Linked DNA regions of Drosophila melanogaster. The protein of the gene in region 1 interacts with the protein of each later gene in a pairwise test. Each region holds a gene or a part of one and is shown in the gene's direction. Other genes may lie near its edges. The genes, in order: CG31988, Vha68-2, CG30461 and CG11562.

What was found.
Region 2: the proteins of CG31988 (region 1) and Vha68-2 interact in a two-hybrid assay, tested with the Drosophila melanogaster proteins (one large-scale study listed by BioGRID).
Region 3: the proteins of CG31988 (region 1) and CG30461 interact in a two-hybrid assay, tested with the Drosophila melanogaster proteins (one large-scale study listed by BioGRID).
Region 4: the proteins of CG31988 (region 1) and CG11562 interact in a two-hybrid assay, tested with the Drosophila melanogaster proteins (one large-scale study listed by BioGRID).

What each region holds. Positions count from the first base shown.
Region 1 is NT_033779.5:21,199,321-21,206,326, reverse strand, and holds CG31988 (uncharacterized protein), read left to right. Parts: upstream 1-3,524; 5' UTR 3,525-3,893; intron 3,894-4,054; 5' UTR 4,055-4,074; coding exon 4,075-4,611; 3' UTR 4,612-4,834; downstream 4,835-7,006. Other genes in the region: CG31624 (uncharacterized protein), read left to right, coding at 6,390-6,926.
Region 2 is NT_033779.5:12,971,532-12,981,144, forward strand, and holds Vha68-2 (vacuolar H[+] ATPase 68 kDa subunit 2), read left to right. Parts: upstream 1-2,790; 5' UTR 2,791-2,912; intron 2,913-3,090; exon of another isoform or gene 3,091-3,215; intron 3,216-3,654; exon of another isoform or gene 3,655-3,692; intron 3,693-3,870; exon of another isoform or gene 3,871-3,938; intron 3,939-4,082; 5' UTR 4,083-4,105; coding exon 4,106-4,181; intron 4,182-4,594; coding exon 4,595-5,292; intron 5,293-5,400; coding exon 5,401-6,378; intron 6,379-6,445; coding exon 6,446-6,538; 3' UTR 6,539-7,076; downstream 7,077-9,613. Other genes in the region: Vha68-3 (vacuolar H[+] ATPase 68kD subunit 3), read left to right, coding at 7,369-8,517, 8,581-9,613. UniProt on the Drosophila melanogaster protein: Catalytic subunit of the V1 complex of vacuolar(H+)-ATPase (V-ATPase), a multisubunit enzyme composed of a peripheral complex (V1) that hydrolyzes ATP and a membrane integral complex (V0) that translocates protons.
Region 3 is NT_033778.4:16,992,750-17,001,028, reverse strand, and holds CG30461 (uncharacterized protein), read left to right. Parts: upstream 1-2,434; 5' UTR 2,435-2,458; coding exon of another isoform or gene 2,459-2,569; intron 2,570-2,628; coding exon of another isoform or gene 2,629-3,888; 5' UTR 3,889-3,966; coding exon 3,967-4,037; exon of another isoform or gene 4,038-4,209; intron 4,210-4,277; coding exon 4,278-4,673; intron 4,674-4,727; coding exon 4,728-4,938; 3' UTR 4,939-5,038; downstream 5,039-8,279. Other genes in the region: ste24a (prenyl protease type I), read left to right, coding at 1-673; ste24b prenyl protease type I, read left to right, coding at 930-1,031, 1,085-2,326; ste24c prenyl protease type I, read left to right, coding at 2,459-2,569, 2,629-3,888; Cbp53E (calbindin 53E), read right to left, coding at 6,472-6,618, 6,676-6,747, 6,813-6,869.
Region 4 is NT_033779.5:288,484-294,859, forward strand, and holds CG11562 (uncharacterized protein), read left to right. Parts: upstream 1-3,935; 5' UTR 3,936-4,085; coding exon 4,086-4,177; intron 4,178-4,233; coding exon 4,234-4,519; 3' UTR 4,520-4,739; downstream 4,740-6,376. Other genes in the region: amnionless, read right to left, coding at 1-436; U2af38 (U2 small nuclear riboprotein auxiliary factor 38), read right to left, coding at 5,139-5,889, 5,958-6,001.

The sequences.
Region 1 (7,006 bases):
AACATCTTTAAAATTCTCCCTCGCTCTCCGAAAAGACGCATAACGGATATCTAACAGTTGAGGAACCTGGCGTTTTCTCCTGAATATGTAACCGAAGATATGGAGAAACACATTGCGAACCCTCTTTTTATATGTTATAAGATACTACTCTTTATACCTCGGTAAATAATTGTGTATAAATGATTTCAATTATCAATGAACTCAAATCCCATTTGGCCAACTGACTTTTAATGGGGCTGCGGTCCTGGCCCAAATCAAAGTTCAATGCGCCGTGTGTCTCGTACATGTATCCTGTGTCCTGTATGTTCCCCGGATGCATAATTAAATCGTCGCGTAATTGATTGCAACTCCGTTTCTGTCATCTGACCTGCTCCTCCTCTTGTTACGGTTTGAACGTTACAATTATACATACGTTTCCTATTTTGATTTAAATTCAAACAAACATACATTAGCCATGTTCCACGGGAACTCAAAGTTGTGAGCTTTAAGACAAACTATACGTCCTGAAACCAATGCTATATAGTTGTCTCACTTAAATATGTACATATGTATGTACGTATCGCTGCATCAGAAAACTTTTTAAGTCTATTTGTGGTAAAAAAAAATATATTTGAGTTTTAATTGAAGGCAATTTTTGTAAATATTCCTACGTTCCTGTGGGTGCGCTAATTTTGTACATCAATGACAGTTCTTGGTCATCGGCGGTCAGCACCGACATATGTCCGCTGATAAATATGTATGTACCTATGTACCTAAGTATCAAATGTACATATGTACATAAATTCATATGCAAGAGACGTCGCTGTTTCGAATCCTTCTTGGGAAAACCAAAATAAGTTGCATAACAAACAGGAATGACATACATACAACAAGTAATCGTACCTATGTAACATGAGTACCAACACGCCCAACCATTGCACGGTATGCTGATATAACGGCTTTCGGAGGAAGCAAGTAAGCGTGCCCAACAAAAAACAAGAGAGAATTTAATAGTCGAGTTCCCCATTACCCGTTTCTCAGCCAGTGTGAATGCGAACGCAAAATTTAATCATTTTTCTGGGATATCGATAGATATTGGAGAATAATATGAGGAAAAAAAATGGCAAAAGTGTAGGCGTGACCGGTTTGCCGGCTTTAAGGGGTTAGAGTGGGCGTGGAAAAAATATGGTTTGCAAATCGATAGAAATTTAAGCAACTAATACAATTGTGTATAAATGAATCTCATCCTTCTAGCTTTTATAGTTCCTGAGATCTCGACGCTCATATGGACAGACGGACATGACCAGATCGACTAGGTTATAGATCCTTATCAAAAGATACATACATACATATGTACTTTAACGCTTCCTTCTGCCTGTTACATACTTTTCTACGAATCTAGTAAACAAGAGAGAACGCTATACTCGATTTCCTCTTCTATCTGATTCCCTGCTAGAGTATTATTGCTCCCAAGATCTCAACGTTCAATCGGTCATAAAGACGGCGGTGTCCAGATCGATTCGTCTAGTGATCCTTATTACAAGTGTCGTTTCATAAATTATTTGTGCTTTAACACAATCCAAGGAACTGCCAAAATTATGCAGCTAATTTAAAAGCTATAACCGGAGTTGCCCAAATTACCCATTAACTCACGTATTGTTTATCTCCACAAAAGCAACATATTCTAGTCACAAAATCTTCTGACTACTAACGGCATTATGAACTAGGTGCCATTTTTGTGGATTTTTTCGGCTCATTCCTCTTTTGGCCTAATCTAATCTTGCGACTAATTAAATGTACTCACACGAATAAAACCACCCGAGTGCAGTTGAGAAACCCAAATAAATTATTGTGGGTCATGCAAGAGCGTTTGCAATTACGAGTTGGCTTGAAGGACATATTTATGTGGCCCCAAAGGAGCAACTCTTTGAACTTGTCCCACAAACGTGCCAAAATATAATGTTGCGCCACTCTGCGCAATTAGAAAGTGCGCGAACTGGATGCAATTATCGGTTAAACATGGGAAATTCTTAGTAGTACTCAATATAAATAATTACGAGCAGCTCAACCTATATTCGGGGCTGGGAATTTGGATCTGTATTTGGATGAGGATGTGGATGGCATACGAGCACTCTTTGGCATACGCAGACAGACGCCTGACACAAATTCCCATCCGACTTACACAACTAGCTCGCCCGTCCGACTGGTGCTGCAATTTCAAATTCCATGCACCGCATCAAAGCGCAAACCAAATTGTGACATGTCCTCCGCCGATGACTCCCGAGCGCCACCAGGAGCTCCACACCCCCACCCCCGTTGCGTAGCGACCGCACACATTGCTGTGCTCCACCGAGTGGCCTTCAATAGGGAACAAAAGATGTTCCACAGGCACACGAAAAAACTTATACTTAAGTTATACAATAGTTCAGGGTTTGTGGGTAATTACTCCACGATATATTATTCAATAATTCTCTAAATCATTTTGAATAAGTTAATACAGACCTACTCAGCTCACACTTTTAAAAAAACTCATACAGAAACACGAAAGTAGCTAAGACTGTATAGAATACTTTCAATTTTATTACACAAGTTACTCGTAGAGTAAAAGGGTATACTAGACTCGTTGAAAAGTATGTAACAGGCAGAAGGAAGCGTTTCCAACCTTACAAAGTATATATATTCTTGATCAAAATCAATAGTGGAGTCGATGTAGCCATGTCCGTCTGTACGTATGAACGTCGAGATCTCAGGAACTATAAATGATAGAAGGATGAGATTCAGCACACAGATTTAAGAGACAAGTTTTTGGCCCATGTTGCCACGCCCATTCTAACGCCTACATACCGCACAAAACTGTCACTCCCACACTTTTGAAAAACGTGTTGATATTTTTTCATTTTTTATATTTTTATTTTCTATCAATTTGCATAAAAACTTTTTGCCACGCCCACATTTTTGAGAAACCTTTCGATATAATATTTTCATATTTCGACTTGCCAAACAACTTGTTTCTCTTGTTTTTTTAATAATTGGATGTTTTAGTAATATTTCTTTCAGCGAATTCATTTTTTCGAAGTGCATGATCCACGATGAAAGAGGCAACGACGACCCTTCTGGCGAGTCGTTTGGGTGGATGAGTCCTTTAAAGGAGTAGCCACCACCCCAGCCCTTGTTAATTGCCGGCTATGCGGAAGTTTCGCAGGATTTTTGCTTTAATTAAATTTTGTATAATAAATTGGGAAACATTCTAGCAGCGCCTTCAAGGAAATGCCGCCCCTTTGCTTGGAGAAATCACCCTTGAAAGTGGAAGACCTCCCTTATTATTATCCTTTTACCCATTTATTAATGGTTTTTGGTGTGACTAATTCTTATACTCGAATATGTATAAGTGACTAAAGTATGTTTATAACTTTCGGTAAGGAGATAAAATTATGTTAAAGAAATCACAAGCATATTGCCATCTATTTAGGCAATTAACCTTTTGATACAAATTTAAACAGTAGTCACAGTAACATAGAAAGCCTAGAAAGGAAAATCAAATACTTTACAGTCCAGTAGGCGATGCTTGTACATTTTCTAGATGTCAAAACATACCCCCAGCGTTTCCATCGAATATCTCATTCAGTTTTTGAGTCTTGCTAAATTCATACGTTTTCATTCGTTTCGTTTTCTATAGTTATTTGAATAAAAACATCAAAATTTTTCAAAAAAAAAAAAAAACAGTATCAAAATTTTGTCCAAGTCCGTATTGCTTCTTTTTGTTCTCCCATTTTGTGTGAACCATCTAGAAGAAAGTAAAGTAAAAACGGTGGCCCTGTGAAAATTGTTTTGATATATGAGAAGAGTACGATAACGAATTCAGAAAAAAACATTGCGAAAAGAAAGAGGAAGTAGTGAAACAGGCGCCAAACCCAGTAAGAAATACATCCCATCTTGAAATTAGTACAGAATTATAATTTCTCTCATTGATATTTGCGTTGCCTATCCAGCTTTCATTGTTTCTTTCAATAAATCGATAATCAATAGCAACCCTGTTTTGTACATGCGTATTAACAAACACATTTTTTTTTTGCAGTTACCAATCGAGAAGCCAAAATGACTGAGAGCATTGTGTGTCACAAGTGCCAGGAGGCCATCACCAAGCGTATGATCACCGCCCTGGGCAAGACGTGGCACCCGGAGCACTTCCTGTGCCACCACTGCGATGAGCAGATCCTGGATGCCACCTTCAATGTTCAGAGCGGAGAACCAGTGTGCAACAAGTGCTTCGTGGAGCGGTACACCTACACCTGTGCCGGCTGCAAGAAGCCGATCCTTGAAAAAACCATCTGCGCCATGGGGGAGAGCTGGCACGAAGATTGCTTTTGCTGCGGCGGTGCCTGCAAAAAGCCGCTCGCCAATCAAACGTTCTATGAGCGCGACGGCAAGCCCTATTGCAAAAAGGATTACGAGGACCTCTTTGCTGCCAGGTGCGCCAAGTGCGAGAAGCCTATAACGGACTCAGCGGTGCTCGCCATGAACGTGAAGTGGCATCGCGATTGCTTCCGGTGCAACAAGTGCGAGAATCCTATAACCTCGCAGACTTTCACCATCGACGGGGACAAGCCCGTGTGCCCCGCCTGCAATTGCTAACATCGTCCCGGATAACCATGGTGCATCCTTGCTCTTCCTCCAAATTGTTCATTTGCTTGCTTACAATAATGTTGAAATAGTTCCCGAAGCTTAGTAAGCCTAGAGGCATGCAAGAAAACAGACTTACACATTTAACACACAAACTTAATACACACACAAACACTAAATAAAAATAAAAAACAAATATGTTAAGTCTCTGTATTGGGGTAGACAGGTATACCCTAAGATTTGCCTTAGTGGTGTTGGTCACCCAAAATAACATTCTGATTACTGTGAGATAAGGTCGAGCAAGCCCTTTCCAATATGTTGCAGCCTTTCGTTAAATAACAAGCTTTTGGCAGCACTTTAAATAATGAATTATTTAATTTTAAAAACAAAAATTGAAGAGCTTTAAAAAATCTTTCCGTTAAGATCGCAGTACAACTGCCTTATCGATTCTTCTCGATATGAAGTGGTGGCCGTCTCTTGGCGTAGTCACGAATCGGTTACGCAGATGTGTAATCTAGATAAATATGGAATTAATACAAAAAAATTAAGAACAAGATAGAATTTTACATACGAGTTCCCCGACTATCAGATAACGGTTACTCAGCTGGTGTGAATGCAAAAGCGAAATTTAATAATTTTTCTGGGATATCGATAGAAAAAAATGAGTAAAAATTGTTTAAAAATGTGGGCGTTACTGTTTTGGGAGTTTTTAAGGTGAAAGGAGTGGCGTGTCCACAGTGCTTTTGGTATACATATAAAAATTGCCAAGACAAACAATAAAACGAAGAAAAATCTAAACATTTTTCAAAAGTGCGTGGCAGTTTTTGGCTTTAGGGCGTTTGAGTGGGCGTGGCAGAAAGTTTTTTTTGGCAAATCGATAGGAATTTCCAAGACTAATAAAAATATCAACAGTTTTCAAAAGTGTAGGCGTAGCAATTTAGTGCGGTTTTAGGGCGTGGCAAAAAGTTATGGAATTATGAAGAAATAATTTTCAAAATTTCTAAAATGTTAGCGTAGCAGTTATGGGCGGTTTTACGGCGTTAGAGTAGACGTGGCAAAAAGTTTTTTTGCAAATTGATAAAAAATGAAATGTAAAAAAATATCAAGACTTTTTTAAAAGTGTGGGAGTGGCCGTTTTTTGCGGCTTGTGGGCGTGGCAGCATGGGCCAACAAACTTGCGCTGCATCGTTGTCTCTAGAATTTGTATGCTGAATCTCATACGAACAGACGGGCATGGCTAGATCGACTCGGCAATTGATCCTGATCAAGAATATATATACTTTGTATGTTCGGAAACGCTTCCTTCTGCCTGTTACATACTTTTTAACGAATCTAGTATACCCTTATTATACCCGTTATTGCTTGTTGTTGTGCTCCCATTTTGTGTGAAACATCTAATAGAAAGTAAAGTAACAACGGTGGCCCTGTGACAACTGTTTTGATATATGAGAACAGTACAATTACGAACTAGGAAAAACACACTGCGAAAAGAGGAAGTAGTGAAACAGGCGACAAACCCAGTAAGAAATACACCCAATCTTAAAATAAGTACAGAATTATAATTTGTCTCATTAATATTTGCGTTGCCCAGTGTTTATCGTTCCATAGCCATCTTCCGTTGTTTCTTTCAATAAAATAATCGATAGCTGCCCTGTTTTGTACATTTTGTATTTTAACCTCAATTTACGATATATACGAGCAATTCAATCAAAAAAGAGTAATTGAACAATCCCTTGGTAATGCGCATTAAAAATCATTTTTTATTAGCAGTTACCAATCGAGAAGCCAAAATGACTGAGAGCATTGTGTGTCACAAGTGCCAGGAGGCCATCACCAAGCGTATGATCACCGCCCTGGGCAAGACGTGGCACCCGGAGCACTTCCTGTGCCACCACTGCGATGAGCAGATCCTGGATGCCACCTTCAATGTTCAGAGCGGAGAACCAGTGTGCAACAAGTGCTTCGTGGAGCGGTACACCTACACCTGTGCCGGCTGCAAGAAGCCGATCCTTGAAAAAACCATCTGCGCCATGGGGGAGAGGTGGCACGAAGCTTGCTTTTGCTGCGGCGGTGCCTGCAAGAAGCCGCTCGCCAGTCAAACGTTCTATGAGCGCGACGGCAAGCCCTATTGCAAACAGGATTACGAGAACCTCTTTGCTGCCAGGTGCGCCAAGTGCGAGAAGCCTATAACGGACTCAGCGGTGCTCGCCATGAACGTGAAGTGGCATCGCAATTGCTTCCAGTGCAACAAATGCGAGAATCCTATAACCTCGCAGACTTTTACCATCGACGGGGACAAGCCCGTGTGCCCCGCCTGCAATTGCTAACATCGTCCCGGACCCATGATCTTACTCCAAATTGTTTAGTTCCTTTCTTACACTAATGTTGAAATAGTTCCCGATGCTTA
Region 2 (9,613 bases), 8.2 Mb from region 1:
AAGTCTATCATTACCACTCCGCACTATTCACTTTAATGATATCTACATATTTTTAAGTACCATTGAGCTGATAAGCAGCTCGTGTTATCTTTTAGATAAGAAAATCACTAAACTGATAATATGTGCGCAATTTCATATGGTATTTATAATGCATTCAACGAAACTTTTACTGCAACTATCCACTTTCCACCATAAAATTTAAATAAATAAATGTCTGAGTATTAAATATTTTCTAGTGCACACACTCACACCCACATTCGGCACACACACACACACACACACACACATGGTAGTGCCATTGCAGTCAATTTATTGTGACCAATATTACGCCCGGACTGACTCGCCGGATAGCTCCCGTTTGTTGGTGCCAAGCGGGAGGAGGTGGGTGGCAATTTGGGAGGGGGGTGGTCGGTCTCACTGGGTGCATGTAAATTGAAAATTATGGCAATGCGCAACAAGATTAGCCAATGGCCAATGGCTGCTGGCGGTGCTGGCGGTTCCGAGCCTTCCTAACAAGACCCAAATGAATTTATCGAGATGGGCGGCGATGTGAAGGGGGACTCGCGTACCGCCCGAGTTGCACAGACATAAACTAAATGAATGCCCATGGCCGCCAAATGAAGTTATGACTTAATGTATACAGTTATCCATATATGTATCTATATGGAGGTCGAGCCAAACAAGCAGATAGCAGTCGAAATATCTCTCAGCGAGCATAAAGTTATTACAAATATATATATACATACATATGATATGCAGATTTGTGAGCAAAAGTTAGTACAGCCTGAAGCTCAAAAATGAATCAAAATCAGCGAACGGAAGCCAGTAGAACGCTAAATTATGATAATTTCATTTAATGCCTAACTGAACCAATAGTTTTCGAATATATGTATATGGCTTTTTGGAAATAGAATTGCATTTCTGTTTAATGAAATGGTCTAACAATCGAAGTTTTCGATGCTACAAGAATACATCTTAGAAGTTTTTCACACTAAAATGTTGCCAAAAATGCTGATTTCAATGCATACATATTTGTGATAAACACGACAAAGATTTTATCCAGGACACTGACATACTATGAAAAACACTGGAAAGTGGCCCAGGAATCGAGTGGATAAGGGTGCATATCCCAGTTTCGATGTGTCAAATTCATTCCACTTTGGCGCTCTGCACTCAGCAGAGTCAGTCGAGCACTTTTCTGCGCCATTTTGACACCGAATCAGAATCCGAAACACTCAGTCACTCAATCACTCACACACACACACTCTCACACACATACGCATACATCTGCAGTGAGGGGAATCCCCGTTCACAGGGCTGATAGAAATTTGCAATGAATCGCAGGCAGATCCTCATGCCACATGCACTGCTGCCTTATTATGCAAATGCTGCGACTCGAGATGCGCTCTCGCTGCCTGCCAACGTCATCGATTTATAAGTTATGCAAAGAGCGGGAGCCAGAACTCACACACCTACCCTCTGCCCCTGGCGTGTCCTTCGTATCCTTCGCATCTCGGGAACATAGAGGCTTTCGCTGTTCGACTTCTATGTTAGCATGGCTTTGCGTTGTAGTTGCCACTTTTGCTGACTGCAATCCGAAAATTTAGCTAAATCAAGCTGAGTGCAGCGACACTGAAAAAAAAACTAGCATGGACTCAAGAACTAAAATATTTAAATGAGGTTTTCTAGCCATATTATGATTTAAAAGAAGTACAATTATGTTGTTACACTCACATGTAAAATATCTAAGATAATAATATAATAAAAAACAAATTAAATGGTTAAGTTATATAAACATTAAACTTCTTATAAACATATAGTTTGGTTATGCGAATTTCTCAATATTTTCAATTAGCACATTCGTTTTCCTCTTTAAATAAGGAGAATCCACTTAAAGAAATCTGATAATCGCTGCATATTGTGCTATTTATTTTATGTTAAAAAAGTATATTCGCAAGAGCATAAAAACAATCTGATCGGGTTAATCTTAACTTTTTCGCTGCTCCATTCTCATTGATTACTACAGCACAAAAAAAAAGTGGGGAAAGCGTGGAATCCTAACTAGAAGAACGGAAGATAGAATAATGGATAAAAAACAAAGGGGCAGGGCAGCAAAAACTTAAATCATTGGCAAATACCTTTTTACGATGCGGATTTTAATCAAAGTTTTTGCCACCGCTGTCAGTTTCTTTTTTTTACTTAAAATGGTAATAAAAAAAAAAGGGGAAACGACGATAAATAAACATTTTAAAATAATTGCTAACGGCGTGTTGTTGCGCTTTAGTGAACTTATTAGTCTACCCTCGCACCGGCCAATTTCCACAATTGATTAGTTTAAAATTGCATTTTTTGGACATTTAAATGGGAATCTAATTGATTGCCATTTTTATTGAGAGCACTTAACACTATACAATGGCAGGTTTTGTATTTAAGCTATATATTCCTCGTTTATACAGTGTCAAATTAATTATTGATTTTATAAGCAGCTAAGAAAATGATTGTTTAATTTGGACCGATTGATCATCGAGGACTTAAAATGGACTTAAAATAATTGGATATTAGCAACTTTGAAAAGATCCCGTTTACTCCCAAAACTTCAGAATCAACCCACGAACTTCTTTAAGCCAGTGTGACCCCACCCGCTCTTTAGCTCTCTTTCGCTCCATCTCGCTTCCGCACATCGATTGGCGAAAGCTTCGCTCGCACTCGATATCAGCTCACAACTTCGCTTGCAAGCTCGCCGCGGAAAGCTCGCGATCACACGGGTCGAAATCGAAATCGAATCGCGGTAGAGAGCTTTTCGAAGTGCGAGCGTCGACGTTTTATTTCTGCGGCTCAGTCGGTTTTAGTTCGTTCTGTTGGAGAAAAGCAGCAATCACACGTTCGCAAGGTGAACGCGAAGACACAGCAAAGTAAGCCCTTCCCCCCCACCAACACACACACCCACCCAAAGCAAATAAGTAACAATAAATAATGGAATGGCTGGAAGACGGTTCTGGGCGATTTAAACAATTAGCGAAAGAAAGCGGCATTGAAATCCGTCTTGAATTCGCCCCGAAAAAGTGACGAAGCAGCGATCAAAGCGCAGAGCGAAAACACGCACACAGACTGCAAGTGTGTTAGATAATAAGTGCAGCACAAGTCCACACTTGAGTAAAATAATCCCTAAAAAAGCCGAATATCAATTAGTTTTCCAAGGAGCTTGAAAAAGTGCGGTATGAAAACGTGAAAATTTGCGCGTGGAAAATTATTTTGCCTTGTCAGCTGACCCCCTTCCCCGTGTTCGCTCCATCCCTGTCGCACCGCGGGTCTTGTGATCGCCGCCGCTCTTGCGCTCGCTTGCTCTCCCATTTCGAAACTCGAAACAGAAGTGGGAGTTATTCGTATTCCGATAATGAAAAACCAATATGGAGAACGAGCGACGTAAAAAAGGCGGCCCAAAGATTTTTACCATTTCCCTTACCCACTTTTTTTTCATTTGTCAGCTGACGGCAATGACAGTAGTCTTGTGATCAACGTCAAAAGCAATTGTCAAATATTCGAACTCGAATGGAGAGCGAGAGAGCCAGAGCGGAGAGTTGCTCTCCCACTCCACCCTCTCTTGTTTTTCTTTGCTGATAATTATGAAAACCCGCATATTTTGAAAAACATGCATTTCAGTTACATTCCTCCGTTGAATTTGTCAACCTGTGGTTGTTTTTTCACAGCTCTTATTTTATTTATTTAGCGATTAGTTTGACAAATTGCTCTCTTCGAACTTTCAAAGCTCTGTCACGTGAAACGAAAGCTCTGCTTTTAAAGTTTTACGCAGCATAATCAAAGAGGGGGAGTTAAAAAAAAAATAATTAAATCAATCGAAATTATTAGCTGCTAACCTACAACTTTATAACCTATAATCGAAAAATTTGGGAGCTGTGGGCTCTACAAAAACTTAACCTGTAAATGTAGCAGATACACCTGCCCCTTGTCAGCTGACAGAGGGCTGAGCAAGAAATTAGTGATAAGAAAATGTTCACCTTTATCTTCGCCCTTTTGCAGCCAGCATTTAACAATTTTCCTCTTCTATTTTCCCTCCATTGCAGTCGAAAAAACAGAATAAAGCAAAATGTCCAACCTTAAGCGTTTCGATGATGAGGAGCGTGAGTCCAAATATGGACGTGTCTTCGCTGTCTCCGGTCCTGGTAAGCACCTAACTATACTGACTAACCATAACTCATGCTATCTAAAAGTTAATAAAAATAAGTTAATAATACCTGTGAACTGGAAACCTTACTTTGATGATTAGTCTAGAACTTACACTTCTGTGTGAAATAATGGCAACTTTAGAAATGTGTCCACCTATTTGTGATTAATATTCAAACAACTCAAACATTTTGGTTTCATTATTCAAAATTAAATGTGAATAATTTTAATAATTAATTAATTGTTTCTTTAAACTTTTTTCTATAATTCTAACAAAAACATCATCAAGTATCATTAATAATAAAAAATTTTAAAAGAAAATGTTCAATGGAACCTATCTTCGTTTGCTGAGTTATAAAAACTTCTTGAATGAAATGTAGCCCCCCTAACCCGACCAACCGCTTCATTCCAGTCGTCACCGCCGAGGCCATGTCTGGATCAGCTATGTACGAGTTGGTCCGCGTCGGCTACTACGAGCTGGTGGGCGAGATCATCCGTCTGGAGGGTGACATGGCCACCATCCAGGTGTACGAGGAGACCTCTGGCGTAACTGTCGGAGATCCGGTGCTGCGTACCGGCAAGCCTCTTTCCGTGGAGCTGGGACCCGGTATCATGGGCAGCATCTTTGACGGTATCCAGCGTCCCCTGAAGGACATTAACGAGCTGACCGAATCCATCTACATCCCCAAGGGTGTGAACGTGCCCAGTTTGTCCCGCGTGGCCAGCTGGGAGTTCAACCCCCTGAACGTCAAGGTCGGCTCCCACATCACCGGAGGTGACCTGTACGGTCTGGTGCATGAGAACACTCTGGTCAAGCACAAGATGATTGTGAACCCCCGCGCCAAGGGAACAGTGCGCTACATCGCCCCCTCCGGCAACTACAAGGTCGACGATGTCGTCCTGGAGACCGAGTTCGATGGAGAGATCACCAAGCACACCATGTTGCAGGTGTGGCCAGTGCGTCAGCCACGTCCCGTGACCGAGAAGCTGCCCGCCAACCACCCCCTGCTCACCGGACAGCGTGTGCTCGACTCGCTCTTCCCCTGTGTCCAGGGCGGTACCACCGCCATTCCCGGAGCTTTCGGTTGCGGCAAGACTGTGATCTCGCAGGTGAGAGTCCCACAAATTGAGAATTTAAGGAGCGATGCCTCGTGTAGCCTCCATACACTCAAGTTTCATAAAAATACAATCCCTAATAAATCATTTACTTGCTTGCAGGCTCTGTCCAAGTACTCCAACTCCGATGTCATCATCTACGTCGGTTGCGGTGAGCGTGGTAACGAGATGTCTGAGGTACTGCGTGACTTCCCCGAGCTGTCCGTGGAGATCGACGGTGTCACCGAGTCCATCATGAAGCGTACCGCCCTTGTGGCCAACACCTCCAACATGCCTGTGGCTGCTCGTGAGGCCTCCATCTACACTGGTATCACCTTGTCCGAATACTTCCGTGATATGGGTTACAACGTGTCCATGATGGCTGATTCCACCTCCCGTTGGGCTGAGGCTCTTCGTGAAATTTCTGGTCGTCTCGCTGAGATGCCTGCCGATTCCGGCTACCCAGCCTACTTGGGAGCCCGTCTGGCCTCCTTCTACGAGCGTGCCGGTCGCGTTAAGTGCTTGGGTAACCCCGAGCGCGAGGGATCCGTGTCCATTGTCGGAGCTGTGTCTCCTCCTGGTGGTGACTTCTCCGATCCCGTGACCTCCGCCACTCTGGGTATCGTGCAGGTGTTCTGGGGTCTCGACAAGAAGTTGGCCCAGCGCAAGCACTTCCCCTCGATCAACTGGCTCATCTCCTACTCGAAGTACATGCGTGCTCTGGATGACTTCTATGACAAGAACTTCCCCGAATTCGTGCCGCTGCGTACCAAGGTCAAGGAGATCCTGCAGGAGGAGGAGGATCTGTCTGAGATCGTGCAACTGGTCGGCAAGGCCTCTCTGGCCGAAACCGACAAGATCACGCTGGAGGTGGCCAAGCTGCTGAAGGACGATTTCCTGCAGCAGAACTCCTACTCCTCGTACGATCGCTTCTGCCCCTTCTACAAGACCGTGGGCATGTTGAGGAACATCATCGACTTCTACGACATGGCCCGTCACTCCGTGGAGTCTACGGCTCAGTCTGAGAACAAGATCACCTGGAACGTGATTCGTGAGGCAATGGGCAACATTATGTACCAGCTGTCATCCATGAAGTTCAAGGTGGGTTAACACGCAAATTTATCCATTGCCTAGACACTGGGTGACCACATTTTTCAATCCATTTCAGGACCCCGTTAAGGATGGTGAGGCCAAGATCAAGGCTGACTTCGAGCAGCTGCACGAGGACCTGCAGCAGGCCTTCAGAAATCTGGAGGACTAGAGACCGCGCTGGCCCTACTTTTACACTCTAATCTTATATTTGTTATATAGTTAACGTTTAAAAATGAAAGCAGTCAAAAACCATCCGAAAAAGCCTAATCAAACACCAACAATTCCGTGCTGCATTCGATGAAAAACAAAAGTCCAACAAATACCACAACTTCTTGGTGCCTGCGAGAGATGTAAACATTCCGGCCTGCGGTTAATACTTTCCCCTAACCACGCCCCCTCCGCCCCTTGAAGGGCAACTCTAGGCAACAGCAACTACAACGTCCTGCTATGTACTTCCATTTACAACAACAACACCAACATACACTTGAATAAAAGTACACGGACACTGGCGCACACACAACACATACATAAAAGACACAAATACAAATGCATGCATAAATAGTATTATTGTTTAATGAATGGAAATTCTTGTTTATTTGTGAAAAAAGTCATGTTTTCTCCCTGTTTGTTTGTTAAATTTATGTAAATATTTAAAGTATGAAATATTAAATGTACGAATAAAGTGCAACAACAAATACATTTAATGTAATTGAAAGTGAATTTCACTGGCAGCAGAATGGATATTAAAAATGTGTCAACTCGATAAAAAGATAATAAGTTAAAATATTTTTTTGAATTTTAAACCTTCATTATATAAACATACTTGACTATATGAAAGCTAAGAAAATGGGAATATATTGAAAAGCATAATCTAAAATCCTATATCATTCTCAGTCATCACCTTAGTCTTTCCATAAACTTCTGCCCCATTTATTTTATTTATTTGACAATATTAGTAAAAATTGTACCAAGTGAAAAAATTGTATATATTTAAACCAAATGGAAAAGAAGTCCTGGGTTGCACCGCTTACCTCGTTCACCAACAGTAACGCAAGTAACGAAGACAGAGCCCGCAACTCGGGATCGTTAAACCAAGATGGGGAGCCAAGGTCCGTGCCTCACCCAACGGTTCCGGCTAAGAAGTGCACATGTCCAACCTGCGCTTGCCAACGTAATGACCATAAATCCAATCCGGTACCCCCTCCCCCTCAATCACGCAAGCCTGTAGCCGAGCCGGAAAGTCCCCATGATACAGTCAATGACGAGGACAGTTTGAAGGACTTGAGACGTTCGACGGACCAATCCCACAAGAGCGCTCACATCGCCTTGGAGAAGAATGAGGACTCGGGTTTTGTGATCGAGCAGGTGGTTGATACGCACAAATATTCGTCGGATGAAGAAGAGGAGGAGGCGACGATGGGTCGCATTTTCGGAGTCTCCGGTCCGGTGGTCAATGCCGAGGAGATGGCCGGCGCAGCCATGTACGAGCTGGTTCGCGTTGGACACTCCCAGCTTGTTGGTGAGATCATTCGACTGGAGGGTGATATGGCCACCATTCAGGTTTACGAGGATACTTCGGGTGTGAGCGTGGGTGATCCCGTCTACCAGACGGGAAAGCCGCTCTCCGTGGAATTGGGACCCGGCATCATGGGCAGCATTTTCGATGGTATCCAGCGACCATTGAGGTCCATCAGTGAACTAACCAACTCCATATACGTGCCCAAGGGCATCGATACGCCCTCCCTGCCCAGGAACATTGCGTACGAATTCACACCCGGAAAATTGAAGATCGATGCTCTGATCACCGGCGGAGACATCTACGGATCTGTTTTCGAAAACAGCATGATGCACGATCACCGCCTGATACTACCGCCCCGCACCAAGGGGCGCATCCGGTGGTTGGCCCCGCCCGGGAACTACTGCGTGGACGAGGTGATCGTGGAGACGGAGTTCAACGACGAGATCACCAAGCACACCATGCTCCAGGTGTGGCCCGTACGGAGGTGTCGTCCGGTGGAGGATAAGCTCCCCAGCAATTCACCACTCTTGACTGGCCAGCGCGTCCTGGACGCCTTCTTTCCATGTGTCCAGGGCGGAACCACTGCCATTCCAGGAGCGTTTGGATGTGGAAAGACCGTCATCTCACAGGTGAGAGGGTTTCTAAGAGTTTAGTTGACAAATGATTACATTCCAATCAACTTATACCCCTAGGCCCTGTCCAAATACTCCAACTCAGATGTCATCATCTACGTGGGCTGCGGTGAGCGCGGGAACGAAATGTCCGAGGTTCTTCGGGACTTTCCGCAGCTTGAGGTTGAGGTCAATGGCACCATGGAATCGATTATGAAGCGGACTGCCCTGGTGGCCAATACCTCCAATATGCCGGTGGCTGCCCGAGAAGCCTCGATCTACACGGGCATCACCCTCTCGGAATACTTCCGCGACATGGGCTACCATGTGTCCATGATGGCGGACTCCACATCTCGATGGGCGGAGGCGCTGCGTGAGATTTCCGGACGTCTGGCCGAGATGCCTGCCGATGCTGGCTATCCGGCTTACTTGGGAGCTCGGCTGGCCTCCTTCTACGAGAGAGCCGGACTGGTGAAGTGCCTGGGCAGTCCAGATCGTGAGGGATCCGTGTCCATTGTGGGAGCTGTGTCGCCTCCCGGTGGCGACTTCTCTGATCCCGTGACCTCCGCCACCCTGAGCATCGTTCAGGTCTTTTGGGGTCTGGACAAGAAGCTGGCCCAGAGGAAACACTTTCCATCGGTGAACTGGCTGCAATCGTACTCCAAGTACATGCGCACTTTGGACACTTACTACGAGGAATCCAATCCGGAGTTTACGCATCTGCGAGCTAAGGCCAAGAAGGTGCTGCAGGAGGAGGATGACCTGGCGGAAATTGTCCAACTGGTGGGCAAGTCGTCGTTGAACGAGGAGGACAAGATCACCCTTGAGGTGGCCAAGATGCTGAAGGACGATTTCCTGCAGCAGAACTCCTACAGTCAGTACGATGCCTACTGCCCCTTCTTCAAGACCATTGGCATGCTGAAGAACATGATGACCTTCTATGATGCGGCGATCCTGTCGGTGCAGAACACGGCGGACAATGAGGCGCGTGTAACTTGGGGCTTGATCCGTATAAAAGCCGCTAACATTCTGTACGAGCTCTCCACCATGAAGTTCATTGATCCCAAGCTGGGCGAAGCGACTGTCCTGGAGAGCATGAACAAGCTGCATGACA
Region 3 (8,279 bases), on another chromosome or scaffold:
GATTGAGGATCTGGCCGCATCGCTCAAGTTCCCGCTCACTAAGCTTTTCGTGGTGGAGGGATCCAAGCGCTCCTCGCACAGCAATGCCTACTTCTATGGCCTCTGGAACTCGAAGAGGATCGTGCTATTCGACACGCTGCTGCTAAACAAAGGTAAACCGGACGACTCCGAGTTGTCAGAGGAAGAAAAGGGAAAGGGTTGCACCGACGAGGAGGTGCTGGCTGTTTTGGGACACGAGCTGGGACACTGGAAACTGGGACACGTTACCAAGAACATTATTATCATGCAGGTTCATCTCTTTCTGATGTTCCTGGTCTTTGGAAATGTCTTCAAGTATCCACCATTCTACGTGGCCATGGGATTCCAACCTGGTACTCGGCCCATTCTCGTCGGTTTGCTAATCGTCTTTACCTACGTACTCGCGCCATACAATGCCCTCATGAACTTCGCCATGACAATTTTGTCGCGACGATTCGAGTATCAGGCTGATGAGTTCGCTTTCAAGTTGGGATTCGCTGAGCAGTTGGGTCAGGCCCTCATAAAACTGAACGTTGACAACCTTGGCTTCCCCGTTTACGATTGGCTGTACTCGACTTGGAACCACTCACATCCGACTCTTCTCCAGCGCCTGAATCGACTCAAGGAGCTCAAGGAAGAGAAGAAACTGAACTAAGACAGCTCACTTCACATAAGACCAAAGTTTACACTATTCCCTTTGATTTAACGTACACAAAATAAAGTAAGGGGACTTACCCCAACAAGCTATTTAAGATTTTGCAATGTGGAAACGTGTATCTTATGTGATTCCCAAAACATGTAAGCTAGTAGTTAAAAATCCGTCACCAATAGATTCAAAATGATTTCCTAACGGAGCTTCAAAATTAAGGAAATATGACTAACATGTCAAGCCGTTGTCAGAGGAACCCAACATGTCTGCACATTTCTGGGATGATCCACTAGCAATACTCTACATAATCATAGCTTTCTTGGTTCTGGACAATCTATGGGGCGTATATCTGATGCTGCGGGACGTAAGTGATGATTACATCTTTCGAGTACATTTTGGATTAAATTGCTCTTTCAGATACAAGTGGCCTACAAAACGCAACAAGTACCGAATGTTATCAGCCCCTATCTACCACAGGAGCTCTACGACAAGATGCGCGTCTACAAGATTCACAAGGGCTGGTTCACCATTGTCAACACCCTGCTTTCGGCAGTTATATTGGGTATTATGGAACTATACTTCGGCTTCTATGCCTGGCTGTATGGAGTGGCTGGAAAGTGCGCCTTGTCCAAGTGGATGGAGCATGAGGCTTGCGTATCCGTGATCTTTGTGCTTCTCCTGAGCGTGTATTTTTGGCTTAAAAGCGTACCGGCCATGATCTACGAGAGCTGTTGCATCAAGAGCTTGCAACCCAGGCCAAAACCACCGTGGTGGTCCCGCATCTGTCACTTTGTCGTTGACCTGGTTGTGGGAGCGATGATTACCACCTTGGTGGTGGTCGCCCTCGTGTACATGTTTATCGGCTTGGGGCCATATGCTCCCCTGGGCTTGTACCTTCAATCGCTGATCCTGACAATGATCGTACTCCTCTTGATTCCATTTATGATCCATCCATTTGTGGGCCAAAGTGTACCCCTGGAAAACTCAAACTTGCGCACCCAACTGGAGTACCTTACGCGACAAGTCGGCTTTCCCATGAGTCAGGTGCGCATCATCCGGGTGCATGACCCTAACACGGGAAGTAATGCCTTTTTCTACGGATGCTGCTGCCTGAAAAGAATTGTGATCTTCGATACATTGCTGCTCAATAGAGGCAAGTCAGATCTCTCCCACCTGACGGCAGAGGAGCTGGGTAGGGGACTTGCGGATCCTCAGGTGGTTGCTGTGGTGGCCCACGAACTGGGTCACTGGAGGAATGGACATTTTTACAAAGCTATCATGGCGTTCCAAGTCCATCTCATACTGACGATCCTGCTGTTCGCGTTTCTGTTTTCTCATGGGCCCATTTACCAGGCGGTGGGATTCCCTCCCGGTCTCCAGCCGACAGTCATTGGATGCTTAATAATCTTCGGCTTTGTACTGACTCCATACATGACACTGGCGAACTTCAGTATGCTTAGCATGACGCGTTGCTTTGAGTACCAGGCGGATAGGTTTGCCTACCAGCTCGGATATGGAGGAGAACTTCGACAAGCACTGCTCAAACTATATGCGGATAATCTGGCATTCCCCGTTTCGGATCCTTGCTACTCCAGCTGGAATCATACGCATCCCACCATGCTGGATCGGTTGAGTCGTCTGGAAGAATTTCGACGATAGGCGATATATTTTTTATCGGTGTTTCTCAAACATAGTAGCTTCTGATTGAGTTATCCGTCTTGGGTAATATAGATATATACAATATTTTACAATAAGTAAACATTGTTTGTTGGGGGAACATGATAAGTTTTGATGGCATTCTACGATACTTGGCCGAAAGTAGATCCAATCATAGTGCTGGTGGTGTTATGTCTGATCGTGTTAGTTGACCGGATATGGGAGATGATACTCACCAAGAGGCAGGTAAGTAGTGGATTGGTTGTTCCACCCATGAAGAACTGATCGCGGATTTCTTTCACCAGCAATTGGTGTGCCTGAATGCGATTATGGTGCCGGAGGAGCTGAGAGGAATCATTCCGCCGGAGATTTACCATCGGGCCCGCATCTACGAGCTGCATAAAACGGAGCTACAGATATGGAAGTACCTCATCGACTTGATTATTACGCTCTGTGAGCTGATATTGGGCTTCTATCCATTCCTCTGGAGCTTGTCTGCGAAGACTCTACAGAAAATAACCTCCCAAGAGATCTGGATAACCTTGATCTTTGTTTTCTACCTGACCATTTACATTTGTATAAGGTTCCTGCCGGTTCTGATCTATGACAAGTGCCTGCTGGAGTTGCGATATGGGATGTCGGGCAAGTTTCCTTGGTACCTCTACTGCTGCATTGGAGCAATGTCCATTCTCCTAAGCCAGCTCGTCCTGTTCCCGTTGGCGGCGGCCATTGTGTTCAGCGTAAAGTTCATTGGGTACTACTTCTTCCTTTGGTTCTGGCTGTTCTGGGCTACGTTCACCCTGTTGCTGGTATTTTTTTTGCCCTACTGCTGCATTCCGTGCATTGGACGACAGGTGGTTTTACCAGAGGGCACTGCCCTCTATATGGAGGTGAAGCGTGTTTGCGATGTGGTTGGCTTCCCCATGAAGAGGGTATTTATCATAAAGACCCGGACAATGCAGTATAGTAATGCCTACTTTTACGGGAGCTGCTGCCTGAAAAGAATTGTAATTTTTGATACCTTGCTATTGAACAAGGGCAAGGAACCCAATGAGATCCATCCCTATGAGGTGGGCAGAGGTCTGACCAACATCCAGGTGGCGGGAGTGGTGTGCCATGAGTTGGGTCACTGGAAGCACGGACATTTCTACAAGGCTACGATCATCATGAAGATTCACTTCTTTATCACCATGGGACTCTTCGGATTGTTCTTTCACTCTCCCCAGCTATACATGGCAGTGGGTTTCGAGCCTGGCGTTATGCCCATCATAGTGGGTTTCATCATTGTTCTGAAATTTGCCCTTACTCCTTATCTCACGTTGGCCAATGTCTTGATGCTGTGGAATCTGCGTCGCTTTGAGTATGCCGCCGATAAATTTGCCCATCGCATGGGATACTCCATCCAACTGAGGATGGCGCTGGTTAAGATCTATGCGGATCATATGAGTTTTCCGGTCTACGACCAATGCTATGCTCGATGGCATCACACTCATCCCACGATTCTTCAGAGACTGGCCTATCAGCAGAAACTGGATGTGAAGGCCATGAATGCCGGAACCTATTAATCTCAGTAGTCGCCGACCTATACATTCGTTTGATTTTGTACGTTTTTCGAGATATCCTGTAAAATTGACCGTGTTACCATGACTCGAAAACAAATTGCTACGCCCCGCTGTGAAACTATCTCCAAATTGGTGGTCAGCGTCGGCAGTGGGTGAGTTTTGCAAATTCCGAAGGAGGAAACTGGGTTGAAGGATCCTTCAAGGGAATTTCTCAAGCTCTTATAGGGTCCTTCTCCTTTTTTCTTTTATGTAAAATTAAATCTTTGAGGAAGTTCTAAAGTATGCAGAAGTTAATACAGAATATATTAAAGTGCGAGATTTAAGAAGTTTCGATTCATTACATTTACATTATTAATTTCCGAATTCAGTGCTCTCCAAATAAAATCCATTAGCGAAACTTTTCTTACTTATGCAGATGCTACAACACGATCCTTCTGCGCGAATCCCTCGTGGCTGAACTTTCAAAATGGCATGATGGAAGTGGGGCCGATTAGTAAACCGAATCCCCATGATTCTCAAAAGGAGGCAACCTCGTTTCTGGAGCGACATTTCGGAAGCAAGCGTCTGGACTCCGAGCAAATGAACGCGGAATTTAAGAACAGGAAGACGATTATCTGGCACACTTGGCTGGTGGAGAAGGTGCGGTTTCCTCCAGCTCAGTGTGCGGTCATCAAGGAATGGAAGGATCCCATCACGGAGACTCTGGGCATTTGCTATTGTTCCTGGCACTTGCAGAGCTGCATGGCCTGGCAGCTTATTCTCAGTAATCGAATGACGGATGCCAAGTGGTAACTACCTTGTATCTAATGTTATTAGTGGTTACCTATAAAGTTCCACCATAGCTTCTGTTCGCGAATCAAGAAAACGATGGACATTGTCAACTGTCTCGTTGACTCGGAAGTGGAACAGGAGAAAACATTTAAGGATTGTTCTTCCCCCTTAGCCGTGTTAACCGAGAAAGTGCTTGATGCCACTGATATGCTGAAGAAACTGAATGATCTTCTAGAGCTCCAGGAGAAACTCAATCGGAAATACAAACGCCTGTGTGTATAGAAAAAAAAATAAGGAAATCAAAAGACTACTTTTGGAGTGCTGACCCCTTGATGTCTGCATAGATTGTATTGTATTTATTTTATTAAAACATTTCTGCTGTATTTCCATAGTGTTAGACATATATCCATTTAGATATTCGATATTTGGTATCTTGTTTCATATAGAGAAAGTCCGTTTCGAAGCTTTACATGCATGTGGTTTTGAACAATATCTTAGGATTAGCATAAGTATGTTATCATATAGTGTTGTATCGTAATTAGTATATTTATATGATAAGTTGGCATTTTGTTGCATGGCATCTTTACTCAGGGTTTCATTTTTAAAGGCGATGGAATTGATCTATTTCATGACTATGGCTCTAAAAGTGAATCTTTGGGCAAAGAGCGTTTCAGGATTGGAACAATTTGTCTTGGTTTTAAAGCTTAAGTTATTAGTTGTTAGTTATTTAGTTAGTTAGGTTTCGAAAGAATACAATGATAACAGATGGAGAAGGGAATACGTATCGAAACAAGTCATAATGTATATATATAGCTATAGCACCTTGAAAGAACATTAGATAGTTCGTAGCGTTGTTGGTTAACTTTAGGTTTTTGTTTAGAGGTTAAATAACCAATTTGCCTATGTTGCGAAATTGGGTGAAAATTTTAGCCTTAAAACGGCGTCAATCTGCACCTCGTAATCTCCCCTCGGGTGAAAAAAATACAAGGACGAGTGCGTGTCCAACATTAACTGGATGCATCACCACCCTCCAGCTTGACATTGTCACGTTCAGGTGGCGGATGCATTTGCATTTGCATTTGCATTCACCTGCATTAGTGGCGTCCACCCTCGGGCTGATGTAAGTGCCTCTTGATTGATTGATTGATGCTTGCGGGGGATATTCATAGCACAAGTGCGGGGAGTTGGGCGCGGAATGCAGCCGCCCACTTTTAGGGTGTACTGTCACAATGATTAACAACAATTATCTACAGATTGTAGCCACACATATGTTTTTACTTAGGTAGTCTCAAATAAATGTGGTATCCTTAAAAATAGCTACATTTATTTCGATTTTAATTGGTAATTAAATAAAGTACGTTATGCAAATACACATAGAAAATATAAATACATATATAGTATAATATAAAATCGATGTACTGATCTTGTTGTTATCATTTCTTAATTTTTTACTTTAAGTGGCTCGATTCTGTGTTGCAAATTGTTTGACTGGATAAATTTCCGTTTTGGTTTGATTTTGGGGGAAATATATACTCTCAATATCTTAACGTACGATAAACATTTATTTAAGATTTGAACATTTATATTAGATTTATTTTATACCAATAGCTTCGTTTCGGTTTGAATCTCTCAGGATTCATCCCCGATTCCAATATCCTTTTATTTTTTTGTTTATTTGCTGCCCCTTTTAATGCAGCTCTAAAGTAAACAATTGCCTTGAAGCCCATTTTGGCCTCATTTCTGGATTTCCCGCGTTCGGGTGACAAAAATAGAGTTGGCTAAAATCTCTTTTTGGTATGTTCTCGAACATCCGGCTTACTCCTCGTCGTCGGGCGATATTTTGGCCAGTGTTAGCAGAATCATGGTCAGTTCTTTCCGGGAGATCTTTCCATGCTTGTCGGTGCCAACTCCCCGCATGATGGTCTCCTCGAAAGCGGCCAGATCCTGGGCATCATAGTCGTCCTGGCAACCACACAATATTAACATTTTATTTCATTTGTCTTTAAGAGCGACACTCACCTTCTTGACCAACTCCAAAAGGTCCTTCAAGAAGCCTTTGAGCTCCTCATTTTCAATGGTGCCGCTATTGTCCTGTAATGATATCATATTAGATTTTACATCTTTATATATATTCCTTAGTCTTTTGCTTTACTTACACGATCGTAGAGTGAGAATACTTTTTCAATATCCTCTTTGGTCAACTTTGTGGCGCCCTGTGGATATAAATTGCAATCCTCAATATAATATTATCCAACAAGTTTTGTTTATATGCATGTTCCACATAAAATAGTATTTATAAATAAGATTTAGCATACTTTTTCCTACATAAATAAAAGTGTTTGGATAACGTACAAAAGGAATAAACTAAATTTAATTACGAAGTATGCTAAATCCATAAACAAATGTGTGTAGCAAAACAGTTTTTTTTAAGATTTGCTTAGACTATCTTGAAATTTTCCAAATGGGTTACCCTTTAATATCATAGGCCTAAACTACGGGTCAAGTTGTATTGGTTGGTGCGATTTTGGTTTTGATTAGTTAAGTATAAAGGTATGAGCTCATGCAAGATACAGCTAATTATAATGAAAACATGCTCTTAGAAATGCAATGGGAAATGGGACAAATTTGTCTTAGGAAAATCCTAAGAGATTAATAAACATGCTACGTATGTATAAAAAACTTGTATACCAAATTCCACACTCATTCATTAAGCTTAACGTAAAAGCCTAATTATCCTAAATAAAACATACTGCCGTTTAATATATGTGTTCTCTGCCGTTGACACTCGCTAATTAATATGAATTATTGCCCAGGTAGAGCAGATTTGTCATTACCATTCACTGCGCTCATTCGGGATTTTTCCGGATGTGTTTTCCACGAGGGAACACGAAATTTATCGATTCCATTTGCGCCCGGCAAATTGCACGAATTACTTTGCCCCCATATATAAACCTCCTTTCACATACATGAATTTACCCCCCACATATACTCATGCAGTTTGGAATTTTGGGGGTTATGCAATGTGGCCAAGGTGGCGCCTCAAGTTCACTACACGTATGAAAAAAATATGGCAACATAGTGAAATTTCAATTTAAATTTTAAAAAATGAGCCGATAGTAAGTTGCTTAATTATACAAGAGAAAACATTTAAATCTCGTAAAATGTTGCCTAAAATATGCATCAGGGATGAATCGTTTAATATAATGTACTATGATTTTATTTTAAAATTTCGCGAAATATTTTTACCAGTGAACTTACGGTGCGAAAAATTGAAAAGCTGCGAGGTGAAACTTAAGGTTTTGTTTTCTTTATCCTTGGTAAAGTCTGATAACATTTGTTTTACTGGCGCCAAGAAAACGCAGCGGGCGCACTGTTATTTCTTACCGGGATTAGAAACCCATTAACTGGTTACCCTTTTCCGCTTAAGCTTTAAAAAAAAATGTGCTTAGCACGGCATTATAAATTGCGATCCTATTTCCACTTGGCGGTAGCAAAGCTGCTGAAATTGAATTTCACACGAACGCAAAACGTATATATCGCATTTTGCTGGGTTTTTACTTTCACTTTCGTCGCCTGGCTCTTTGTCAAATTGCCCAGACTCAAGTCGATGTTCGCCTTGAACG
Region 4 (6,376 bases), about 21 Mb from region 1:
CCTTGATTATGACCTGCTCGTCATCACAGGGAATCCTCTCCAGCTCTGGTGTGAATGTGGAAAATTCCTTAGATTTGTCCGTCCAGGTGCCAGGATCGAACCATTTACTCGACTTCGGTGGCTTCAAATAGGCCTTATTCTCATCGCTCTCACAGGAGGGCTGCTTATCAGATCCAAAGGTAATGGTGGATTCCTCTGCCAAAAGGATCGCCCCTTCTCTGGGGAAAACCAAGCCATCAATGGATATGTCCTCGGGCAAGGGCAGCAGAGCTGGGTAGTACTCTGGAAAAACGACCAAATCCTGTGCACAAGGCAAGTGGTCATCTAGCCAGGCGGTGGGATCATTGAAGTCCATTCCACCGCCATACCACTTGGTGGCCAGTGCCACATGGAGCCCCACCAATGCCCAGATCAGCCATTGCCAATGCAAACCCATCGTGGAAACTCAGTGAACTCTAAACTAAATCTGAAACGTTCGGAGAATTCCATTCGATGATGTTGCCTCTTATTTGGGGGCGGATAACAATCAGAATTGGAACCAACGAGAGCAAATAAACACAGGGGTGATGGACAGCAGATGTAAGGGAAATCAGGCTGATGGGGACAACTCATACCCTATCATTTTTGGGAACATGTTCTTATGTTACTTATAGTTACTTTTCAATGTTTATAAAAATATAAATGGAGTTTGTATATGTATATTGTGTTTGTAAATGACATTTGGAAAAGCATGGAATTCATGCTTTATATTCTCCACAAAGATTTTGCTTATATATATATATTTTTTTTTTATTCTAAACACAGCTAATCCTATTAGTGGATCGAAACCTAAATCTTTTCTTTAAATATATTTTACTAATAAATTGTTTCGAATCGAAGAGAATTTGGCAAAAAGCGTACACAGATAATTTCACGTTTGCTTCAACAATGCAATTGTTTGTCAGAACATAGTTAGTTTATTTGTATTTTGATTGCGCCGATATAAACAATTTCAGCACACCAGATTTTTAAGATGCCCAGAAGACCAGAAGAAAGGTAAAAATTCGACAACGAAAATAATGAACCGGATGGTAGTGGCACCGAAAAGTTCTCGTGATCGTTTCAAGGGACTACATAAAAGAAAAAGATCTGTAGATATAAAGCACTTTATGCTGACCAGATCAAAGTACTTTTTGCGGGACAGACGGCGTTAATCAAGGGCGAGCAAGGTCATGCAATAACAAACTAAGATGTTCCTGGAAAGACGCACGGAAATGGAAAGCCGTGGTGTGGAAATATGTACATATGTAAAAGCATCGTATCAAAAAAGAGCACAATTCCTTCTCTTGAATAAATGCAATTAATGCAAAAATATCTTCATTTCTGGGTCATATCTTAAAGAGATTGAGCAGAAATATTGTCAAGTTGAGAAAAATGTATGGAGATAACATCAGAAGTGGACTCGTTATATATATGTATGTATTTTATAGCCCATTTTAAAACCAGATTTGTGGCAGCATACATTTTTCTTCAATTACAAGTACAATTTCTCTTAAGTGACGTTAATTTCCTTATTTAATACATTTTTTCTTTTTTTTTCTGTGGGCCGAAATTCAAGACATATTTATTTACCCATTCGAAATGAAATTCGTTCACCAATTCAACAATGAAACATTCGCTTGTGCCAGTTGCCAAGGAGCTGCGAGAAAAATGCAATAATCCATCGATTTTCTAACAATTTAACGATATGTAAATGAGGCGTCAGAAGCACCGAATAGCAGAATACCAAATCGAAGCCAACTGCCACGTATGGCACATTTACATTGGCGCCCATCAGATAATCTCGCATTCGTCAAGAAGTGGAATCAAAAATCTGGAAAACCGCGAACATCTGAGCAAATAAACACTTGGGGCGAGAAAATGCCGAAAAACGCTTTCCCACACGGAATGTGCATTGCCATCAGGGAAAAGTGCAGCGCGAATGAGGAAATTCGGCGAGCACAGCTCCCGTATCTGGCGGATACTCCTCCGTATTCCACAGTTGTTGACCCCGCCTGGCCGATAAAAAGAGCGTGCAAGTAAGAGAAAATCGAAGGGGAAAGGGGGCGATCCCCAGCGAACAGACAAACAAATAAACAAACATATGGCACACATAAACCCGAACATCGGCATACGGGCCTAGAATATAAATAATTTTTCCTTCGCTGATTTTTCTGGTCTCGAGCTCAACACTTGAAACAACCGATGCTGGCCGCATTTCCGTCTTGTTTTTTAATTTCCCATAATTTCTCACATATGTATCTCTGTATCTTTGTGGCGCTTTCGATGGGCACGCCGTAAATTAACTTACCAGCGACCAGTAGGACAGCAATTTGATTTTCTGGGGCAGCGATTCGGGAACCAGGCGGCGATTGAGGCTCGTCTTCAGTTTGTAGCTCCTTTGGATCTCGAAGGAGCTGTAGTAGAGTCCATAGGCGAATTGGCCGAGTGCACACAGGTGTATGATTGTCACAAAGACGCGCGACTTGTATAGCTCAACTTTGGTCATCTTGTGGATTTTTCAAAGATCCTACACAGGAAAAGCCAAAGGAGACTTCACGTTACACGGGCAGAAAAATTTTGCAATATGTTCCTCAAGTTCTAATTCGCTACATTTCAGTGTTCCATATACAGTGCATAATTTAATTATATATCTAAATCAACAATTGTGAAATTTTCATGTAGTACAAAGTGCTAAGTATAAAACTTTTTTTTAGGCAAAGAAAGAAAGAAACCATTTAGAACTACTATCCCTTGATAAACTGAAAATAAATTTTTCTTCAATTTTAAAAGAAAAATTGGTGTATTGTTTTTGTCTGTGCTTTGCGGTGGGGCGAAAGAAGTGAATTAAAATCGTCGTCAAGGTGTTTTAGCTCTTGAGTCAAAACACCTCGCTTTCGTCAACTCAAAGCGCGCACAAATTTAAATCAATATTTGCGTCACCGACATAAATATTAATGGAACCTAAAGTTGGCCAGGAATATCTTGAAAAAATCTTGAAAATCTTGACCGCCCTGGAAGAAGATCCCCGTGGCTCTTGTTTATAAATCGGTTATGTTAATAACTTAATGGTTTTTATGGCCCTTAAAAACAATTGTTGATTGCCTTTCGTTTGATTTCCACACTCTGAACAAATCACCAGGTCCCCGGCACACGCACGCTAAGTATTTTCTTGATTTCTTTTTGGCTTCGCTCGGAGGAAGTGCTCGGCTGCGATTTTCCCTTGACCGCGGGCACAACTGAGCGTATGGAAAACTGGAGTCGCACTGTTGCCCATACGCCGTGTTGCCTCCTGCCTTTTGTACTCGTTTCCATTGTACTTGGCTGTTGCTTCTGTCTCTGCCTCGGTTTTGTGGTGTCGTTCCTCCAGTCGCTCGCATCAGGTGCGTGCTGCGCATGTCCGGACCACCGACCACGGAAGACGGACTCCGGGCTTCGCATTCCGGATTCGGGAGTGTGGGCTCCATTATGGGTTAATGATGGCCAATCACCTGAATGAATCGCCCCCACCCATTAAGATGTATGTTGCTTAGTGAGTAACCAGATGAGTCGAAACAATGCAGGCATAACTAAAAAGATATCTTTGCGGAGAGATAAGCATCTGCTTTTATTTTTAGGCACTGCGTCATAGCTGTAGATAAAAGTATAAAAAACCTAAATAAAAAGTCATTGATAAAGGCTAGAAGTTCTGTAGTACATATGTATGTAGATACTAGATACGGAAATCGCTATTATATACATCACTTCGAAATTGTATTTTCGTCTAAAGCTTCAAGTTTTCAATAGTCTGAGATTTTCTAACTGCAATTGGCTTTAGGACCCCCAAAAGTGTTGCGCTGATTTGAAGGGAATTAATTTGATTTTCCCGCGCACTAACTCTGGATAGGGAAAACTTTGCTTCCGTAAACTGGCCACTCTCTTGTCAGCTGTGTGGTGCTGTTGTTTTTCTTTCAAATTTAAAGTCATGTCGTAACCCGAACCGACTTCAAAACAACACAACCCGACAGCCAAATTCCTAGTGCAGGCATTTTAGGCGGAAATCTCCAGCGGCAGACCGGTGCCCAGTCATGTCGACCGCTTCGCGAGTGACTTTGGGACTGGCGGTCTCCATTTCCACAGCGATCATAGGTTATGTGCACTATAAACAATCGGCAGACCGGTAAGTAAGCCAAATACTCCGGAATAAAGTTATAGCCTCCGATCTCTAACTTCCAGCCTGAGACTGCACGATGGTGTCCTGAGGGACGTTGAGCAGCAACAACGGCGCAAACACGAGAATACCTACACGCTGCAGCAGCAAATAGACATGACCAAGCAACTGAAAGCCAGGGAGGCGTCTAGCAACTCCTCTGACACGCCCGTACCTCCATCGACGCATCGCGCACAGAGTAATCTTCAAGCGGAGAAGCCAGCAGTGCAAAATGAAGGCGAGGCTTTCAGAGGTGTTCCTCAGGGTGGAACGACTAATCACGATGGAAGCCCGCCAACTGACATAGCTTGATCACAAATATGCCCCTAAATATGCACCTATTAAAATCTAAGACTAAGTCGGGGAAAACAAGAATTTCGTTGTTCAAATGTACGCATTTTTGAAGATTTTAAGATTTCGTCTTAAGACAGTTGACAGCATCATTTACGCTGTTGATCGTTTTCAGTTGGTGAAGCCATCTGCGCATGGAAATATAATTAAAACAACGTGGTAAGATTCAATCTTACAAAGCGAAATAAGACTGCAGGCCTAACAAGGGGTGGTGTCTTCTGGATGTTATCCATACCTGTGAGGAGTCTTTTATTTTGAGTGCCTGGACTTTTTGACAATTAGACCCATTTCTTACTATGGCTTCCAGTATAATATTACTCAATTTTATTATTATGAATGTATGTATAGTAAATTACAATTCTAATGGGCGCTCGGTAAAATATTTCGCGGGGGGTTTGTACATAGGTGGTGGAACTCCCCATCGTCATTTTCCTCCTCCTCCTTCCATCTCGTTTACTCAAAAGTGATATAAAAACGTGGAAAACCAACGCAGAGACTAAAATACACGATGCTTTGCGTTACTGCTTGTCCGTTGCTTTCTCTCTCAATTGCCACCGTACAGAAAAAATGTCCAGAATATTTAATACCGTCCACCACCACCACCGCCTCCTCCGCCACCACCTTTGCGGCGATCGCGATCGTTTCCGCGATCATTGCCACGCATGTTGTCCCGCTCGTTGTTCAAGTAGTTTCCTCCGCCGACACCGTCGCCTCTGCCGCCTCCTCTTCGACCCGGGGATCGGGACCTGCTGCGGGAGCCGCGACGGCGTCCAGGGGATCGGGAACGGGAGCGGGCACGACGGCGGCGGGAGTAGAGGTACCTTCGCAGCTCACGCGAGATGGGCTTCAAGTGCATGAAGTTGCAGAAGCCGGAGCGGGTACATTCGCCCATCTCGTACTGCCGACAGCAAGCCTCGCGGAAGTCGGTCACCGGCGATAGTTCCGAGTACACCGGTCGACCACCGAACCACCGGTTGTTCAAATCGTTTGCCGCCTTTTCCGCATCAGCCTCGTTACGGAATTTGATGTACACATTGCCGACCAGATGGTCGCCTAGGTTGTCGCACACGTTCATCTCCTCGATTTCCCCGTACTTGTCCTCGCACTCTACGAACACGTCCTCGAAAAAATTGTCGTAGTGTTCTTGCATCTCCTCGTCGGAGACGTTGGCCACCAGATGGGAGCCATCCGCGGATTTGGCGGAGTTTTGGGGGTTCACGTATAGATTTTGGAGAAGCACCGTCTGCGAGAAAGTGGGTTTGTTGTGGATGCGAGAGCACCGGTCGCCGTGGCGGCAGGCGCCGATCTTGAAGTAGAACGAACAGTTCACCCTGGGAAATGCAACGCCATTTAGTTATTAATCCCGGCAACGTTAAAATAAATGTGCCATGCGACTTACTTGTCCTTTTCCGTGCCAAAAATGGATGCCAAGTACTCGGCCATGCTGGCGGCTTTACTGTGGTGTTGCTGTGGCCAAAATGTGTAACTTATCTACCCGCTTGTCTCTGCAACGCGGTCAAACTGCAATTATGTTAGCCGCCTGTTTATTTAGTGATAATTTTCAATTATTTTCGGAAACCGAAAAAAGCAGCGTCTGGTCGTATTTTGCACGGCGTTGCCAGCCTCGAATCTAGAGTTGCAAATAAAATCGATGATTAGTTATCGATATTTAGTGTTTTTGGCAGCATCGTTTTTCGATACCTCTGTTCTTAATTTAAATGTTTTAAAATATGCTAACATTTTAAATATTAATTTCAAATATTTAAATATTAATGCACTTAAAAGCCTGAGGACTTATTTTTCATTTGACTAGAAAAA